3 linked regions of the Coturnix japonica genome follow. The protein of the gene in region 1 purifies or fractionates together with the protein of each later gene. This does not show direct contact. Links are inferred from orthologs where the notes say so. Each region holds a gene or a part of one and is shown in the gene's direction. Other genes may lie near its edges.

Region 1 (4,274 bases):
CCCTGCCCTGAAGGAAACAACAGGCAGAAGATAAAGATACAGGCCTACCAGCTTCACGGAGCAGGAAGCGTGTTTCTTTGGATCTCCCACAGACTCCATTGAGTAATTACTACTGCCAGTGGGGAGAGGCTTCTTGATGGTAGGGACGGTGAGCCACCAAGAGAGACTAAGAAATCCCAATTTCTGCAGATAAAGGACAAACTGGACAATCAAGTGACCGGAGTGCCTATGGACAGCTGATCCTGCCTTGGGGGATACAACCTACATCAGGGAATGGCAAAACTCTTAGGGTTACAGTGGCAAGCTGTATTTTTATTTCTTAAAATAGAGCAGAAATTTGAGAATTGGGAGATAGTTCCACCCAAGGAGGCCAAATGCTGACAAGCTTATCAGCTGGTATGAGGGCTGTATTTAAGGAGCTCTCACAGGTCCCTCTCTTAAGATGGCTTGGCTTCAATTTCCAACAATCAGAATGGGTCCCTGTGCACGTTCTCTGGCAGGTTTCTGATTGCAGGTTAGTTAAAACACGTTCTCCTCATATCTGTGTCCGCTGTGGAGTCGCAGCAAACTGACGTTTGGAGTTGTAATCTGTTCTCATTCTGAAACGTGCTCAATTCTTGTTTGCAGAGAAGCTGCTGCTACCATGTCCCACAAGGAAGGAAGGATGGGGAGATGGGGCCATGGCGGCTATCAGTGCAGGGCAATGCGTGGCCGTGGTACCCACAGCAATGAGTGGGGCAGACACAGAGGAGGAAGTTTTTCACACAGAGGGTTGTGACGCACTGGAACAGGTGGTTGTGGATGCCCCATCCCTGGAGGGCTGGCTGGATGTGGCTCTGGGCAGCCTGGTCTGGTGGTTGGTGACCCTGCACATAGCAGGGGGGTTGAAACCAGATGATCATTGTGGTCCTTTTCAACCCAGGCCATTCTATGGCTCTATGATTCTACCATCCAGTCCAACTATGAGCCCATGCCTGCTGACCACATCTCTCAGTGCCACATCCACACAGCTCCTCAACACCGCGTACCCCGGTGGCGCAGTGGTAGGAATGCCGCGTTGCAACACCAAAGGCGCTGGGTTCGAATCCCCCTGTGGCGCAAGTGGTAGAAGTGCCGCTCTGCTACACAGAGACTCGAATCCCGGGGGTTCGACTCGATGATCTCTAAGGTCCCTTCCAACCCGCACCAGACTGTGATACTGTGATGATGATGACACCTCCAGGGACGATGCCTCCATGGCTGCCGTGCTCCCCAGCTGTGCCCATCCCCACCCGCCATGTGCCGGTCACCGCACTGATGGCCGCACACCACGTGCCCGCCCGAACATCAACCTGGCGCCGCCGCTTCCCGCCGCCAGCGTTGCAGGGCGGGGAGTCGGAAAGCGCGAAAATCCCGCGCATGCTCCCTCCGCCCCCGCCGTGCCGGCCGGTTGGCTGCTGCGCTCCGCGTGTGCCCGTGCAAGGCACGCTACACCCCGTGACGTCAGCGCGCAGCGTCACGCCGGTGGGACGCACAAAAGTGTAAGTTTCAATTTTTTTTTTTCGGGCTCCCCCTCATTCCCCGGTTCACCGGCGCTGTCCCCCCCCCCAAATCCCCACGGGGAATAGAACGAAAGGGAAGAGAGAGAAAGCGGACGGTGGGATCGCGGGCAGGGACAGCCGCTTTAGTTCACCCCCCCCCCCCCCCCCCTTTCCCCGCTGCCGCCCCCCGTGCAGGTGTGCTCTGGCCGCACGGTGACAGCCCGCACGCCGCCCCCCCACACCCCGCCGTGCCGGCACGGAGCGCGTCCAGCCGCCCCCCCCCATATATACACACACATTGCGGCCGTTGGGCGCCCGCTCCCTCCCTCCGCCCCTGCCCCCTCCCGCCGGGCTCGCGGGCCCGCGCGCGCCGCCCGCCCGCCGCACATGTGCAGTCGGGCGCCTCCGCAGCGGCAGCTCGGCGCCGGGACACGGGCTGGGGGGACAGCGGCGGCGGGGGATGGAGCCGGCGATCTCCGCATTGGGCCGCTCAGGTGCGAGCGGCTGCGGCCCCAGGATACGGAGGGAAGGATGGGAGGCGCCCGCGGAGCCGCCATCGGCGTGGCCACCCGCCGCTGAGCGGAGGCCCCGGCGGCTGCGGTCTCCGGCTGCGGGCGGGAAGGGAGGGGGGCGGCCCAGAGGCCTGCGTGTGCCCGCCGACGGGATGGGGCCCGCCCGAGCGTGCCGTGCAACCCCCACCACAAGCCGTGAGGGTGGGCGGCGGGGCGTCGCTCCCACGTGCTGGCTGTGAGCGGGGGCGTCGCTTCGATAGAACGGGGCATGGGGGGGAACTTTGCGCTCTCCCATAGGGTTCTGTTCTGAAGCACAACGGGAATCGGGGCGGTGCAAAGTTTGCCTCGTCTCATTGTGGAGAGCTGACTGATGGTGGTTGTGTTTGCTTTCTAGAGAATAGCATCGTCGTCCCAGCGTCCCGCAGGCAGCAGGATTGTAAGAGGATTGCCTGCTAGGCTGGGGTAACATGGCAAAAGATGTAAGTATATTTATAGCGCATCACATGCAGGGGCATAGCTAATAGCATATTTTTGCTTTTGTTTTTGCTAACGGAAGCAAAGCAGGTCAGGCTCTGGTATAGCTGGCAGTGCAAACGTGTGAACCTGACTGTGCTGTACCCCAGGCCTGGGCTGTGCTTCACTATATGGATGGTCCGACCCCAAACCAGCTTCAGGTCTGCAGCAGGTTCCTCAAAGTAGCCCTTGGAATCTACTGTCGTCATAAAAGCTCTCTGGTCATTGGCATTAGATGTGTTCACATTGAACACCACCCCAGGTTGGCTTTGACGTGGGTTCAGAAAGCCCTAGAATACACCGTTCAGATGCTGGGGTGGTTGGTGGCTCTGTCCTGTTATCTCCAGAAGTCACCAGCTGAGTGTCACTGCTGGCTGGTGCTGCCTCTGCTGCTTGGTGTGTTCGGGGTAGCAAAGCCTCCTTATCTCCTCACTCTTTCTTCCCTGTCCATTCAAAGATGCTGATTACTGCTTGTAAAAGCAAGCATTGGGAGCTTGCAGCATACACTTCCACTGCCATCCTTGCCATGACTGGTGGCCTTGAGGCAGGCCTCAGAAACACCTTTGCTCTTATCCATTCCAGTATTCTTTTAAGAACCATTTGAACAGGTTCCGCCTTTCAGATCTATTTCATTGCTTGTAGCTAATGTAATTGGACTGCCACGGTTCTATATTGAGAAGGAGAGAATGGAGAGCTCTGTATTCAAACTTGAATGCATCTCCCCCCCACCCCCCCCAAAAAGGACAACAAAATAGCAAACAAGTCACAAAGCAATTCCAGTTCTAAACAGCAGGTTACGTTATTGTGTGAACTGTTGTAGCTTTCGGAGAGTGAGAATTACTGTGAAATAGTGATTGGTTTAACAAATTAATCTTGTAGGGAATTTTAGGAGTTCAGAAGCATATGGAAAGTATCTCGGTGTGCAGAAACGCAACCAGAAATACGTAGTCACTGCACGCTCGCCTGTAAAAGATAAGGGCGTTCAAGTGCGCTACAGATAGCAGAGTTCAGGGAATGAAGGGCTGTACGAGCAGGGAAAAAAATGGAAGAGGAGGGGTGGAAGAGGAGGTGAAATAAGCGGCAGCTCAGAGTAATTCATATGTTAGGATACATCCATTTCGTACTGCCATTTGGAAGGAGATGGGCTGAGTGAAGGACTGGCACCTGGAAGTTAGATCGGTGTCGTATAATGTGTGTGGGGACATAATGGGGGTAAGGCATCTAAGAAAGAACCTAATTGGAGAGATCCATTTTGCTGTAGGAGGGGAGTAGTTAAGGGAGGAATAACATGCGCAACAACAAACTTCAGAAATGGAAGAAGATGCTACAGGTGGGAACGAATAGGTGTTTTCAGTGTCTTCTAAGAGCAGATCAAGAAGTAATAAACTGAATTTGGAGGAGCAGTAATCCGGCTCAGGTTGTAGGTGACATGTTAAGCATGCTTGAACACTGGGACAGGGTAGGGAGAAAGTGTATGAGGTCTTAACTGAAGAACTGTGTAACCCGTTTTCAGAAGCCTTTGCATATATGTAAAATCCTGTTTGAGGGAAGAAAGATGAACCGCATTAATGGCCCGCGGTTCTGCTGTGTCACCTATCGAGCGCTCTAACGGTCTGCAAGATGTGGTGAATAACATGGCATAGTTGATGAATGCCCCCACCCCTTCCTTCCCTTTTTCATTTCCAGCAGGGCTGAAGTGGCACAACTGTGGTGAGGGCGGTTTGTGCCG
Region 2 (4,421 bases), about 78 Mb from region 1:
ATGATTCTCCCTGCGCTCCCACACATGTTGCTTGCTGAGAAGCCAGTGGGGTGGCAGGAGATGTGCCACGTCCGATGGTCGCCTTGTAGGAGTTGGAGAGTTTATTTAATGTATATGACTGCTTTTAAAATGCAAATCTACGCTAAGGGGATGCGGAGTGACCCGTTAGTCTTATAAATGGATGCTTTTTTGGTACGGCCCTGCATTTGTGTTTGTTCATGGCAATGTATTTTACCAAAGAAACGAGGTCTGACCTCATCAGCTGACCTGCACCCGGCCAGTCTGGGAGCAGCTGATGTTCAGAAGACCTATTTTGCATTTTGAAATGAGAACTATTGTTTGGATATGTGATATTAAAAGATCCTATTTCACTTGGAATACATTGTTCAGCTTTTGGCACCAAAGTGTGAGCCTGAGAGAGAACCTGGTGTGGATATTCTGTAGATGCTGTGCTGCAGTAGCTGATGGGTGCCCCATTAATGCTGTTGCACCCACTTATGGGCTGCTTGAGGTCACTTAGCATGGAAAGGCTGAAGTGCTCTTGATCTCACCTGACAGCAGTGCGTGCAGGCGGCTGCCTCTTAATTCAAGCACATTCCCCTATTTGGGGGATGTCCTGTACAGAAATGCTTCAACTAGGGAGCGTGTGTGTAGCAAAGCCAGTTGTGTGTGCCAGCTGTAACTGCATGCACGTGCTGTTGAACCTGGTGTGTCGTTCACTGCCTGCGAGCCATATGTGCAGAGTAGGCAGGGAGGGCTTCCCAGAGCACAGCTTTACCCCATGGGTGTGTGGGGAGTAACTTGTACCTGTGTTTTGTGCACCTGAAGATCTGGCTGTGGCCAGAGCACAGCACAGGCGTTGGGATTGTCCCTGTGTCCACCAAGCCCAGGTAATGACACGAGCAAGCTGCCTTCAGGAAAAGATGGATGGAAGATGATGGAGTGAGGAGCCTGTCTGCACGGGAATCTCAGTCAAGTGCCAAACAAAAGCCATGGTCTATTGCAAAGTGGACAGATGTTCGTGGCTGTATGAAATTTGGAATAAAAAGCTTGATATTCAGATACAAGTACGATGATTGGTCTAACACAGGAGCATAAGCTGTGAATAGAAAGGTGTATTTGATGGCAAGATGTCAGCCTGTCTTCATAAGGGAGGTGCTCCAGCCTTCTGACCATCTTTGTGCCCTCCTCTGGACCCCCTCCAGCAGCTCCCTGTCTTTCTTGTACTGGGGGCTCCATACCATGATGCAGTACTTAGATGGGGCCTCGCAAGAGCAGAGCAGAGAGGGACAACCACCTCCCTGTCCCTGCTGGCCACCCCTCTCTGATGGAGCCCGGGACGCCGTAAGGTCCCTGTAAGGCCGCCATCATGCTCTGGGCCACGCCCCGCCCCCTTCTAGCGGAAATAGAACTACGCCTCCCGTCGTGCCCCGCGGGGAGTGAGGCGGGAACAAGCTCTTCTCCGATTGGCTCATTTTCTTCCGTCTGTGGCCAATCGGGTGCGCGGCTGCGGGGGAGGTAGTGCTCCACGCGCGTGAGGCGGGCAAGCGTCCTGGGAGCCATGGAGCAGGAGCAACAGCAGCAACAGCAGCAACAGCAGCAAGGGGAGGTGAGCGGCGGCGGGGCCGGGGCGGTACCGCACTGCGAGAGGCCTCCTGCTGCCACAGCCGCGCAGTGCTCTGCAAAGCCCCGCAGCGTGGGCTGGGGGGGGCTGGGCCGCCCTGTGCTCCACGGGAGACGCGCGGCCCGGGCTGTGGCGGCCGTTTAACGGCTGCGGGGGGGCGGTTCGCCTCCCTGTGTGGAGCCCGATGTGGCGTCAGTGGGGTGTTGGGGGAGGGAGTGACGGAGGGGGCGCCGCCGGGGGGGGATGCATCGCAGCTTTCGGGCTCTTTTGGTTCCGGAGCAGCGATCCCGAGTTATTCGCTTCCTGCGAGCTGAAGGAAGGAGCGTCCGCAGAAAGGGCTGCGAAGGAGGTGGATTTGCTGCTGGTCCGTCATCACAATTCGTTATAAATTCAACTCTGGAGAAAGCTGGTCCAGCTGATGTTTAGTCTGTATTAGTTTTGTGAGCTTTGGTGGCCGGAGCCTGTAGCTCGGTACGCTGTGGAAAGCTCGCTGTGGCTTTGACGGCTTGAGGAGAGCCACTAAGATGATCCGAGGGTTGGGCACCTCTCCTGTGAGGAAAGGTTGAGGGAACTGGGCTTGTTTAGCTTGGAGAAGAGAAGGCTCCAGGGAGACCTCATTGCAGCCTTCCAGTATTTGAAAGGAGCACATAAATAAGAGGGAGAACAACTGTTTGAGTCTGGACAGTGATAGGACAAAGAGGAATGGTTTTAAACTGAAACAGGGTTAGAGATGAGGAGGTAGGTTTTCACACAGAGGGAGGTGACACACTGGAACAGGTTGCCCAAGGAGGCTGTGGATGCCCCATCCCTGGAGGCATTCAAGGCCAGGCTGGATGTGGCTCTGGGCAGCCTGGTCTGGTGACTGGCGGCCCTGCATATAGCAGGGGGGTTGAAACTGGATGATCTTTGAGGTCCTTTTCAACCCAGGCCATTCTATGCTTCTGTGATTCTTTAGATTTCTGAATCTGGGATTGTTGCGTGGATTTCTTGCACAGTCCAAGGCTTCTCTTGGGTCTAGACGTCCTCTCAGCAGTGAAGACAAGCTAGTAAACATTTGGCATAAGGTGTTTGTTTTAAAGCAGACTGGTTGTTTTGTCAGGCAGCGTCTTCCATTTGCAACAAAACTTCATCTTTGGAGAAGGCGGAGGTGGAAGGTGAGGAGGAGGAGGAGGAAGAAGAGGAGGATGATGACTTGGACATGTTTGGAGGCTATGACAGCTTCCGGAGCTACAACAGCAGCATGGGCAGTGACAGCAGCTCCTGCCTGGAAGAGTCTAGTGATGATGAGGTGGCAGATCGGGAAGTCAGAGGTCTTCCACTCTCCCCTGTGCACCAGCCACCCACAAGCCGGATCACAGAAGACAGCGGCTCTGAGCCAGGTAGTGCCCGTTCTCCTGTGTATGATGGTAAGAATGAGAGCTGGAGGAAACCAAAGCATGCTCTGGGAGCAGAACTGAACTGATAATGCATGTTCTGTAATACATGGAGGAGCTGCTATGTGTAGTGGGGATTTCCTGGGCTTAGATCTGTCACTTATAAAGCACTGGTCCTGCTGACTGCTTGTATCTTTGTGCTTTTCCACTCAGCTGTGTGCGAGATGTGTGGGATTGTGGGAACCAGGGAGGCTTTTTTCTCCAAGACCAAACGTTTCTGCAGTGTATCATGCTCTAGAAGCTATTCATCCAACTCCAAGAAGGCCAGCATTCTGGCCAGACTGCAGGTGAGTCAAAATCCCTCCTTCCCCAGGGGTGGAGTAGAAAGCCCATGTAGAGGGATGGATTTTTGCTGTCTTGTGAGGTCTCAGACTGCTATTACCAGTGGTTTATTTCTGCTTGAAGCCCCCAGAGAAAAGCATACCAACTGTGCAGTGCTGTTTTCTAGAAGCTGGGGAAGGGCATAGTTATATTTTATTTGTTGTATCTTCTGGTTCCTGAGAGCACTAATAGTAATCTGTAAATCATCCCTGGAGAGATGTGTGCCTCCTCCTGTCCAGTTGCAAGCTTCTCTCCCTTCCTATTCCACTAATATTCCTTCTTTTGTAGGGGAAGCCACCAACAAAGAAAGCTAAAGTCCTGCACAAGGCAGCCTGGTCTGCCAAGATCGGGGCCTTCCTCCATTCACAGGGCACGGGGCAGCTCGCAGATGGGACTCTGACAGGCCAGGACGGTGAGTGTAGGCTAGTCATGAGGAGGTATATCTTTAGAAGGGGTAACTGTAAGACTAATAGCCCCATGCTTCACTCTGATTTCTCTGAGATGCTGTGGCCCCAGAGATACCCCCCCAGCTCCATTTCTCAAGAGCAAGTTGACACCATTTGTGGGATCTAGTTCCTCTTCAGGGAAAAGGCACTCAAATACAGAGTCCATGCTCTCTGGGACAGAGTGCTTTGCCCTTGTTGTAGCCCGGAGGTAACTGAGTACTGTGTGCCTTTTAGATAAACCTCTTTGCCTTACTTTCTTCTCTTGTCTGCTCCTAGCACTAGTCCTGGGCTTTGACTGGGGAAAGTACCTGCAGGAACATGGCTTCAAGGCAGCTCCAGTCAGCTGCTTCAAACACGTGAGTTCTTTGCTGTGCCTCACAACATGTGTGGTACACTTTGCATGCACTGGACTCTCCTGTGCTGAGTGGAGAGAGGCCTGGGGAGAGGGTTCTTGAGCACTGCTTGTGAGGGAGGGAGCTGGGGTTTCTTACAGCTAAGAATGCCTCTTAGTTCCATGGAAACTACAAAAGATACAATGAGCTCAAGAACACTATTTGATAGTGCAAACTCTCAGCTATAAAACACTAATTTTCAACA
Region 3 (3,259 bases), on another chromosome or scaffold:
GTGAGCTCCTCTAACAAAGAAAGTCATCCTTCATGCATCTTATTCAGTAGTTGTTGAGATCTTGGATTTTTTATTTTGTTTTTTAACTGGAAAAAAATCAGTGCTGATAGAAACCTGAGATTTTTTCTGAGAAGCCCTTTGTTAAGATGTCAAAAATAGGCTACAAATTATCTGATCTCGAGGAATTTTTTTTGCTTAAATGATGTTTTATGATGGGCTTATATGCAGTTGTTACTTTATGTTATCCAGGTCTAATAGTTCTCATGGCATTCAGTGTATCATCTTTATTTTTTCTCCCCTTCTCCAGAAGTGGCTTCCGTTAACTCAGGACAAGGTGACTGCTCAGTAAATATGGCAACAATCTCTCCATTGGCTTCTCCAGCCAACCTACTACAGCAGACCGAGGACCAAATTCCCTCAAACTTTGAAGGACCATTTGTGAATTTGCTGCCTCCTCTGCTTCAGGAAGATTATTTGCTGAGCCTCGGGGATGAAGAAGGCATCAGTGATCTCTTTGATGCTTATGATTTAGAGAAACTTCCTTCGTTGGTGGATGAATTTATATACAGCTGATTCTCTTAAATGAAGTGCGTATCTAATCTGTGTTTTTTAATGGAATTGGAACATGTCCATTCATTCTGTTGTCCCCTGCTTACCATAAAAAAGCATTATCGAATAAACTAGGCTCTTGAACGCTGCTGATATTTTAATGAAATTCTCCCTAGAATACTACGAAAAGGTCTTCTCCTTGACCCTAAGCTCCAGTGCCTTGCGAGTCAGCAAGGGCAAGCAGGTGACCATGGAAGTTCTGTATTCACACTCCCCCAGTCTCTGCTTTCCATGACAAGTGGGGTTAATGGAGAAGGGCTCAATGAACTGGCTTAGTCGCTAAGAACAATTTTATAATAGTATTTCAGGTCGTGCCTTCTGCAGAGAATGCATGTCTTCTGAGTGTCACAACATGGATTGTAACTGCAGTAAGCATAAATATGAAGTAATGCAGAAGTGCGAATTGAGCTTCTTCAGCTACTTGTGGGAATGTTTAAATTGCTGTCATAACGCTCGTTTTGAGCTGCATATAATGTCTCATTATGAGGTCAAATACTTACGTCCTTAAAAGCTTTTAATAAAGAAAATACACTGTAAATGTAGTGTATATCGCGGATATTGAAAAGTATGAAGTTCTGCCACTTCTCGTAGTAATCACAGATTTTTAATACTGCTTGTGTGTGTGTGTGTATGTGTGTGTGAAAGTAGTTTGTGTTGGTTGGTTGTTGTTTTTTAAACTAGAACGAAGATGCACAGTTCGATTTCACTGCCCCCAGTGTGTGCATTAGAACTGGTACATAATTTTTTTGTGGTACTAAGTGGGGCTTTGCGTTAAGTGCCTACTAGAGATGCACTGTGGGTTTTCCCCTCTATGGAAAACACTTATGCCAAGCTTTGTTCAATATATCATATTTATCTCAGTGGGTTTGCTTCCTCTGCTTCCAGCTTTTTATAATTCTCTTCTCCAGCAAAATGGAACTATTTTTTTTCTTTTTTTTTTTTTTCTTTCCCAAAGTACATAATTGTAAGTACCACATCAACTGAATTGCATTTATTTTTTTGAAGATCTTTGGTAGAATAGGATAATACCAATATTTATTTTTCTGAAAGTGAGAGGAATTCTAAGAAGTCTTACTTTTTTTTTTCTTTTTTCTTTTTTTTTTTTTTTTGAGTGTAAAGTACGTTGCCACGTTCTGGGCTAAATTAATGTTGATTAGATGATGCCCGTGTAATCCTTTTGTTTGCATTATTGTTGTGCTTATCTGACATATTCAGAGAATTAGTACTATTTGTACTGTAGTAGAATATTATGTACGCAGGTATTCTGGTACCATTGAGTTGCTGCTATGAAAGCTCACACATGAAAAGGCAAGAAGCCACAGTACTAAAAAGAAAACTATATGACTGTGTGAGTTTTGGAATATAACAAATGTATAAAGGGCAACACGTAAAGAACTGTTAAACAGTGTTAAGTGTGTGTTTATATGTACAAATGTGTGCATAGATCATTCAGCAGTTGTATTTAAGTTGATATATGTTTCCACTCACACTTTAGTTATCAAGCAGTTTTGTATAATAGATTTAACTTGTAAACACTGCCAGAATATTTTTTAGCTGGTTTGTAATTTTTTAAGAGTTTGGGTGGTTTTTTTTTTTTGGTTTTTTTTTTGTTGTTGTTTTGGGTTTTTTTTGTTTGTTTGTTTTAGATGTGGATCTGTAAATAAAATTGTAGTAATTTAAAGTTTCCGTCTTGTGGAAGAGGAAAGTAAAAGTTGTGTGAGCATGAAGATTTGTGAGACAAAGGGGCACTTTTGAAGGGGGGAGAGAAAATGAAGACTAATGCAGACCATCTCTTTATGTACAAATTAAACACCTGTCCCAATGTGCGTGGGCTAAATACTAATCTAATTTAGCTTTGCATTGTATGCTAGTTTTAAAAAAATTCTGTAAAATACTGTAAAAAAAAAAAAAAAAAGGAAAAAATACAACAACAAAAAAAAGCTTTTATGGCAAGTTTTGTAAATAGATTTATTAAAGGATGACCTGTTCTCTAGCTGTGATCTTACCACTTCAGATGGGTGTAATTTGAATAAATTTTGTATGGTAATGAATCAATAAAAAGGATTTTTTAAAGAGTTTAGATTTGTCTACTGCTTTTTAAAACCATTTCTGGTGCCTATCATGCTTATGAGTGGAAACTAGCTGGTTGTGTTGTTATTTATTAGTGCTTCTCATACTTATTTTGCATAGCTATGTTTCAATTCTATTTCTTTTTCATTATACTAACAAGTTATGGCTTTAAGTTATTATTATTATTATTTTTTAAACCAGTGTGAAACAAGAAAAAAAAAGATGCCAGACACACATAGTAGGAGATCCAGAAACTGGAAAACCATAGGTTTACTCTCATTGATTTCCTCCCCCTAAATTATCGGATACATCTTGGACATTTCATAAAAGCCTGGTTATTCTAGGATTAAATAGCATGAAAGAAATGGTTGAGGATGTTAGCTTTCCTCCTGCTAATTTTCCAGAAGTCTCTTAATTGTAGCTTTGGGGAAAAAAAAAAAAAAAAGGGAAGGAGTTCTATTTACTTATGAGTCACCTCCAACACTCTCATACACCCAGGTGCACATTTACAAACTTGTTTCCCCTTTCTGGTCCTGGTGCTGCACCTTTCTGGATACATCATCATTGATAAAGAGTTAAA

Evidence for each region.
Region 2: the proteins of TFDP1 (region 1) and L3MBTL2 purify together in Homo sapiens (affinity purification with mass spectrometry; 4 studies listed by BioGRID and IntAct, counting the BioPlex papers as one, with this or other methods). This does not show direct contact. The link is inferred for Coturnix japonica from reciprocal best matches to the Homo sapiens genes TFDP1 and L3MBTL2.
Region 3: the proteins of TFDP1 (region 1) and E2F3 purify together in Homo sapiens (affinity purification with mass spectrometry; 3 studies listed by BioGRID and IntAct, with this or other methods). This does not show direct contact. The link is inferred for Coturnix japonica from reciprocal best matches to the Homo sapiens genes TFDP1 and E2F3.

What each region holds. Positions count from the first base shown.
Region 1 is NC_029516.1:123,726,412-123,730,685, reverse strand, and holds the start of TFDP1 (transcription factor Dp-1), read left to right. Parts: upstream 1-1,404; 5' UTR 1,405-1,520; intron 1,521-1,886; exon of another isoform or gene 1,887-2,014; intron 2,015-2,426; 5' UTR 2,427-2,499; coding exon 2,500-2,511; intron 2,512-4,274. UniProt on the Homo sapiens protein: Can stimulate E2F-dependent transcription.
Region 2 is NC_029516.1:45,392,388-45,396,808, reverse strand, and holds the start of L3MBTL2 (lethal(3)malignant brain tumor-like protein 2), read left to right. Parts: upstream 1-1,478; 5' UTR 1,479-1,561; coding exon 1,562-1,609; intron 1,610-2,723; coding exon 2,724-3,030; intron 3,031-3,210; coding exon 3,211-3,344; intron 3,345-3,666; coding exon 3,667-3,790; intron 3,791-4,100; coding exon 4,101-4,180; intron 4,181-4,421. UniProt on the Homo sapiens protein: Putative Polycomb group (PcG) protein. PcG proteins maintain the transcriptionally repressive state of genes, probably via a modification of chromatin, rendering it heritably changed in its expressibility.
Region 3 is NC_029517.1:69,387,734-69,390,992, forward strand, and holds the end of E2F3 (transcription factor E2F3), read left to right. Parts: intron 1-307; coding exon 308-573; 3' UTR 574-2,685; downstream 2,686-3,259.